Drosophila melanogaster: one gene and its partner. The protein of the gene in region 2 purifies or fractionates together with the protein of the main gene of each other region. This does not show direct contact. Each region holds a gene or a part of one and is shown on either strand. Other genes may lie near its edges. The genes, in order: Tctp and Atpalpha.

Evidence for each region.
Region 1: the proteins of Atpalpha (region 2) and Tctp purify together in Drosophila melanogaster (affinity purification with western blotting, with the first as the bait; one study listed by BioGRID). This does not show direct contact.

Annotation. Positions count from the first base shown.
Region 1 is NT_033777.3:11,208,068-11,211,994, forward strand, and holds Tctp (translationally controlled tumor protein), read left to right. Parts: upstream 1-2,179; 5' UTR 2,180-2,313; coding exon 2,314-2,832; 3' UTR 2,833-3,831; downstream 3,832-3,927. Other genes in the region: cu (curled), read left to right, coding at 1-114, 180-389; SdhC (succinate dehydrogenase, subunit C), read right to left, coding at 1,160-1,673, 1,731-1,732. UniProt on the Drosophila melanogaster protein: Involved in calcium binding and microtubule stabilization.
Region 2 is NT_033777.3:20,946,607-20,950,533, reverse strand, and holds the start of Atpalpha (Na pump alpha subunit), read right to left. Parts: upstream 1,755-3,927; 5' UTR 1,729-1,754; coding exon 1,705-1,728; intron 1-1,704. UniProt on the Drosophila melanogaster protein: This is the catalytic component of the active enzyme, which catalyzes the hydrolysis of ATP coupled with the exchange of sodium and potassium ions across the plasma membrane.

The DNA of each region.
Region 1 (3,927 bases), 9.7 Mb from region 2:
TTCGTCGCGAAATCGATGAAACGCGAGCCACCCTACACCACCTGGAAAATTCGCGAAGAGGGCGAGGAATGTCACACCATCGACTACGTCTTTTACACACCCGATCGCCTCAAGGTGGGATTTCTGAAATAGTTGCAAGCGGTTACAATTTATTTAACAATATTTATGTCCAATTTCAGATCAAAAACTGTCTAGACTTTCCGGCCGGAGAGCAAATTGGCAAGAATCGCACACCCAGCTTCCAATATCCATCGGATCACTTTTCCCTGGTGTGTGACTTTGAGCTACTGCCTCCGACGGAAAACGGAAAGGAAAGCGGCAGCGGAAGTGGGAGCGATGGTGAAAATGAAACGGAAGTGGAGGGCAGCAAGCATGGATCCATTCAATAGAAAGCTTCAGATTCATAATTTGCCGAAAAAGAAGTTTCAATAACATTACATCGATTGTGATATTAGTTGTTAGATACATATTAGCCTCATACACAACCGTTGCACTACAGTTTGCAGCTTTTACAAATGATAATCCAAAATTCACAATAAATAAATTACAACGTATGGAAGAAAGTTAACTGAACTGCATTTTCTATCCATATAACAATGACCTCTTAAAAATCAAAATTAAGGATATACATATTTTATATAGATTCTGTACATGAACTGAATCCCCCATCTAATAAAAAGATTCTTCAGTTCCGAAGTAAAAGGATCTTTAGAAGACTTTTCTATAGTTAGGGAAGCCAAAGAGCTACTCTTAAATAAATACATTTTCGGAGCCCTTTTGCATTTGGTTTTAATTTTTCATGTAAATTTAAGCCTATAAAAAGTATTCCCTACTTTTGGGCGCATGTAAGTAATATTCTGCTATCGGAAATCGCTTGTTCGGGGCGTATACTTGATTTCGCTGTCAATGGACCGCAAGATGTCTATTTAACCGGCCTCCACACTGAATTCACTCTACAAATCACCGAAATCGTTAAAAACACGCACACCGTGCAAATTGCAGCGCACAACAAACGTATGCAGCACGCCCAAAGCAACAAAATGGATTGCGTAACACAACAAACACCTTTATAAATATACACACTACATGTATTTAGTATATAACAATTTTCACACAGTGTTCGCACTAAAATGTAATAGGTTTAGCTGGGGTCTTGGACTTAGAGCAGGGCCAAGATAGCGGATAGCACGAAAGAGGTGGCGACCATTGCGTAACCGGTGGAGTAAACCTCCTTGATCTTCAGGAACCGTCCGGTGTCCCAGAGGAGATGCCTAATACCATTGGCGGTGTGATAGCCAGCCGGATAGGCGATGATAAACTTGAGGGCGGTCAGAGTGGCGCCACTCAGCTGGAGGCCCTCCACCATGGTCACATAGTGGCTAATGTCGTGGGACGAGATCAGAGCGCCCAATCCCAGACCCCAAACACCCACACCCAGGGCCAATCCTGTGCCGCGGTGACAGATCGAGAGCATGGAGGTCAGCTGCGGTTGGTAGATGGTCAGATGGGGCGACAGCTCCCTGCCCAAGCGCTCGTTCTTCTCGAAGAACGACTCGTCCTTCTGGGTTTCGGCCACGGAAACCACCTTCATCGATACCGGGCGGCTGGCAGCGGCCATCTGGAGGCCCTGGCGCAGCGCCGGAGAGCGGATCAAAGAACTGGAGAGTGCATACCTGCAAAAAGCAGTCACAAATCAGGGTTTTTGCAGTGCCATCACAGAAATTACGTACATTTCCCTGTTTTTCACTCGAACTTGTATTGATGGGACCGTACACTGACTGCGCGATATTACCGCAAACAGGGATGCCACTACGTTGGTAAAAAACAAATAAGTCTCGAAAGTATTGATTTTATATCAACTGTAAAACATTGTTATTACTTTATATGATTAATTCTGTTCCCACTTTTATATTATTCCAATTGAGAATATTACACATATTTATCTTTTTTACTGAAACAGTCTCAAATTATTAAAAGTTAGAATGGCCATAAATATACGTAAGAAACATCAATATTATAGCTATAATAATTTTGTTCGCCTTGTTAATATTCCCTGCTCTTAACTAACAATAAATCGAAGAAAACATTGAAATTATCGATACGTGTATAGTAGGCGCTGCCACTCCCGGATCAATCGTTACCACTCCCAAGCGAGTTGGCAGTTCTTTCGCCATTTTTTCTCGCTCATTCTTTTTGCTGTTCGAGTGAGCGCGTGGCAGGTCGTTTCGCAGTGTTCCCGGTCCGGTGCAGTTGTAGTTGCATTTTCGCCAGCGATTTAGACGCCATCTTCCGACTCCCGACAAGCCAATCACCATGAAGATCTACAAGGATATCATCACCGGCGACGAGATGTTTGCCGACACCTACAAGATGAAGCTGGTGGATGATGTGATCTACGAGGTGTACGGAAAGCTGATCACCCGCCAGGGTGACGATATCAAGCTGGAGGGCGCCAACGCATCCGCCGAGGAGGCCGACGAGGGCACTGATATCACCTCGGAGTCTGGCGTGGATGTTGTGCTTAACCACCGACTGACGGAGTGCTTCGCCTTCGGCGACAAGAAGTCGTACACCCTCTACCTGAAGGACTACATGAAGAAGGTGCTGGCCAAGCTGGAGGAGAAGTCGCCCGACCAGGTCGACATCTTCAAGACCAACATGAACAAGGCCATGAAGGACATCCTTGGCCGCTTCAAGGAGCTGCAGTTCTTCACCGGCGAATCTATGGACTGCGACGGCATGGTGGCCCTGGTGGAATACCGCGAAATCAACGGCGACAGCGTGCCCGTGCTCATGTTCTTCAAGCACGGTCTGGAGGAGGAGAAATGCTAGATGGATCCCAATCCCCCAAACAAAACGGAACCTATACTCATGCATACCTTCTACACACATATACATATTTATCAGATGCTTAGTTACAATTTTGAAAGTCTTAAATTTATGTTTAAAAACGCTGACAAAAATGCCTGTCTTCGATCAGTGCGATTTTATATCTAATTTCTTTTTACCGGAGCGCTTATAAATTCGACATTGTATGTTTATTGTTTAATCACAGCGAGCTAAACAATTCAATTGCGCCACCTATTGTAATTAAAATAATAATTTGATAGCAACACCTACAAATTAGTATGCATTTTCGCTAAGATATCAAAAAGCAACGAAGACCGAAAATGGGAACACCAGTACTGAAATTAAACGGAACACCTATACAAAACAACTGTGAATCCGCATGTCTGTACTTCTTTCCAAATCTGCAGTTATGCGTAGGTAGACGCCGCCATATGGCGGCGTGAGTGGGAACGAGAGGGCGCCACCACCGTCTGAGTCACAGACTTCAGTTAGTTTGTGTTGTTGCTGCTTTTTGGGGCAATCGCGGAGTTATTGACCTTTGACAGTGATGTACACATGCCCCGCACCAATACCGTTACCGTCATTGGACATTTTGGAGGTCATGCGCAGTGGAACACGATTTTCTGCACGTTGCAGTTCGACTTGCCCCAGTTTCTCACGTTGGCTTCGCCCTAACCTCAACCATGCTAATGAAATGCGCCGCTCTCGCTGGAATTTGGGATTCTATAATCTAATTCCAGGTCAAGCAATACGTACGTCTTTATCTGCTTGAAGGGCGGGGCTCTGCGCCCCAGGTGCTATTTCCATTTCAGCGAAACGTGTCGACCTGTTGCCGTTCGTCGCGTGAGAGATGCGCACAGTGGACACTCGTTAGGGCGAACGGCGATATTGTCTGATGTTCGAAAACAATTTTTTTGAAAAGCACAATATATTTTCCTAAAATTGTAAAGAATATTTTATTCAAGTATTTGAATCTAGTTGAAATAGAACCATTTTCGGGATAAAAAGCTAAAAGTTTTTCTTCGCTATTCTCATACATTGTTGAATTTAATGGTTTTTAATATACATACATATGTG
Region 2 (3,927 bases):
TAATAGAATTTCCACTGAGCACACTGGGTTAAGATATAAGATGTCGTAGTCCGGCAGATTGAATTATAATAATTATGCAACGTTGTATTCTACACCAACAATATTATCATCAGAATTTGCCCTTGAAAATCCGTTGGGAAATGCGTCATATTTTATAAAATTAATTGTATGAAACCCAACCCAATAAACCCAACCACAAATGTTTTTAAACTTAAAATAATTTGCGTAACTTATTTTGATTCTTAAAATATGCATACCACTACAATACTAATAAAGACGTAATTTTGGAATTACATACTTAATTTTATAACAATACAAATATGCACAATATAATATATATTATAATAATTATATAATAATATCTAAATATATTCTACAAGACACTTTCAAGTCTAAGTGAGGTCTTAAGCGTTCTTTTCAAGTTTTCCCGTTACAAATAATATCTGGACCCACTGTTTGTTGCGAGTGGATTCAGACCGCTTGCTCTATAGTTTTGCATACTTTCGGGCCGTCGAACCAGTATGTGTGTGGGTGCGTGCGTGTGTGTGACCTGCCCTTAGACAAGCCCCAAAATCAATAGAGCTGGCAATACGGACTTAGAATTGGTGGTCTAGCCCTAGGAACAGAACCGAAAGCCCGGGTGGAAACAACAACCCTGGCGAAGAACTCATTACCTTCTGCGGGGTAATTAAGTGGCGTCATCGGTGGGGCATTTAGTAACTAATCGAATGGTGAGGGGGTAGGGAAGGGAAAGTAAGGGCTACGTACTGAGAAAAAAGTACGGTAAGAAGTACGTCGATTTACGCTAATGTGCCAGTGTGTGTAATTAGCAGCGCACTACTCGGCCCAATGACACCAATTCCGGAAGGAGGGAAAGCACGGAAAATGGAAAAATAAACGTGTTATGCAGGGTAGTTTCGTTCTAGAGCTCGAGATTCCAATAATGAAATCTGCGAGATGCGGCGGAATGGGGCGTGGTTCGGGAGGGGCGGCAGCAGTACCGGTTATGTAAGCCGAAAACTGGAAGATTTCCAAGCACGGAAAAGCGAAAAGCTTTCGCGCCGGGAAAGTGGAAAATTTGGGAAACTGGTCGGCCTGGAAATGCAAATTGCGCATGCCAGCTAAGCGCACCTGGAAAGCGAGAGAGAGAGAGACAGAGAGGCAGAGAGAGAGAGAGAGAGCAAGAGAAAGGGAGAGCGAATACAAATTCGAGAAAAAAGTCAAAAGCCAGGCTCTAAGCCCAGGCTATTTTTACAGATCAGCAGGTAAGCGGATATAGGCCCATCCAGATCCAATAGGATTAGTAACTGCGCCCCGTTTCACATTCGATTCCGTTTGCAGTTACCGAAAGCCCGCAAACAAATTAGTAAACTTCGTTGGGCGTCGCCTCGGCTTTGTTGTTGTTGTCGTTGCTTCTCGCTTTTTCACCAGCAACAAAACAAATAGTAGTAGCAGCAGCAGCAGCAAGAACAACACCAAAAGCAATGTACACAACACAGATACACGCACACACCCACACAGCGCACTCGGGCTTCGATTTTTCCCACTAAAAACAACGCCCGCTCAGCGTATCACTTGGCCAATTTGTTTTGGCCCTGGTTCTTTTTGGTTCCCTCGTCATGGTCTAACAACAGTTTAAACTTAACCATTTTCTCACTTAACTAACTTAGTTTTCATCGTAATCCAGGCTTTATTTTTGCTCACCTCGTAATCCGACCTTAACGCCATGTTATTTTAATTTAACTCGATTATTCCCAGGGATGTGGAAAATTTACACAATTCCAACGTATCGATATTTTAGAAGTCGTGACTACCAAATGGAGAGTTATCGGCCTATTGTATCGAATAAGCCGGTGTAGAAATCGGGATGGCAATCGGTTAAGAAAATGTAATTGTAAATATTGCATTATGAATAAAATTACTATTATAATTTGTCAATAGTCCGAACAGTCTGGTTTATTTAAAATGAAAAGTTAAGTATTTTAAATATACCTGGATATTTATTTACCGAAAGTTGTTACTATGCTACCTTCAAATATTAATATCTGGATATGTTTGGATTTCAATACTCTCATTAATAATTGCTAATTTAAAATACCAAGTTAAAAATATGTTTAATTTTTCACCTCAATTTGGAAATAACATACTTTTATGTACTTTTTATATCAACTGCAAGCGTGAAAATTACTGGAGCTGCCAGATTAAAATATACACACTACGATAGTTGCCATCTTGAATATTTACAGATATGGAGAGTTGCCAACGTTATAGTTATGTGTATTCAATTTCAAGAGATAATAAAATACCAAATACAATACGCGCGTCTTCTTGCATTCCAAACATAGGTGGCGCTGTATAAGCAAAATAATTTTAAGTGGCAGATAGAACGAAGTGTAGATGGCGTTCGTTAAACGTATAAATTAGCTACTCTCCAAGAAATGTTCAACTGGACTTGAATCTTCTCAAATTTATTTCCTATGTTCAGTATTGATCGTTGATCATTGTTGCGATGAATGGCTTCAAACGGGCCAGAGATTCTCGAAGGCTCAGCAATTCGACGATCCTGTGGGGAAAAACGCATCTTGGAGATTATAAGTTCAGCTTACTTAAACTAATTAAATTATACTTAAATTTCAAGATACACCTGATACCCCTCGTCATCATTATCCAGCAACTTATCATTGGAAGCACCAACTGAAGGTTCGCCCGAAACCAACAGACCGCGTAATTGATTATAATTAAATTATGAATTTAATTGAGAACACTATTGATAAGTACGAGTCACGATGTGGAACTCAAGACGAAGATCTTCCAATTTGTCAGTGTAATGGAGCTATAAACATAACAATCCTCCAAACGACCAGGCATTTGGAAAACTTATCTCCGTCCGCACAAGATCTCATTTTATCATCCGAAATGCTGACCTCCACTTGGTCGAAGCTGAATTTATCGCAACTCTAAACCCCAAATATAATCAGGATAATTAGATGTCTCAAGTCATTTTGTTCTTGAAGGCTAGCATGTTCTATCTAAGTTAGCTTCCCAGCAAAATGGCATCTAAATTTCTACAGATTCATTCAATTGATCAATTCGGTGACCAATTACAAGGAAATGCCAAATTTGCACACTCTTACAAAGAGCACAGTTTGCACGGTTTCATTTGCCCTTACCTTCTCCGGAAGCTTCAATTGGTTTATCCGGTTAATTAATATTTTGAAATCAATTGTTGTCGACACGAGCACAAACAAGGAAGCAGCTCCAAAGGGGCTGCGGTTGCTTAGGCGAAACGACTTTTCGCTCAGCTGCAGAGCAACCCACTTTCCACTTTGCCCATCCTTTTGCCCGCCCTCTCATCCTGCGGCCCCGTCAATCGATTCAATATCCCATGGCCATTAGAAGGAAGCCGGCTCGACTACAAAATTGAGCCCACATAAGCTGAGGGGAAATCGCCTTGTTGCCACTGCCACTGTCTTCGGGTTTGGCTTTCGCTTTTGCTTTTGCTTTGGCATTGGCTTTGGCTCAAATAACCTGAAAGGCCCAATCAACAGGTGTCTTTGCCTCTGCTGCGTGCTGGTGCTTAGTGTTTCTGTGTGTCTGGGTGTTTGTGGTTCAACAACCGGGCCACCGGCGGCAAGGAGTCAGCTTCACGGCCGAGTCGGATGCCTCGGTGTGTGCCAAGCCAAATGGCGAGAAATAAAACTGGAATAATTCAATAGGAGGCGTGGCCAGCCCACTAAGCCCATGGGTAGGAAGTGGAGGGGGGGGGGTGTGTGGGTATGGCTGCGATGGTTGGATTCAGTTCGGAGAAGGCAGCTTCATAGCTTGCGTAATGAATGTCCTTAGCAGGCTGGGCACGTTTCATGTTTTTTCGTTCATGTTTGCTCTGCCAGGCTCCTGGAATCCCCCATCCAGGCCGCCAATTTGGAG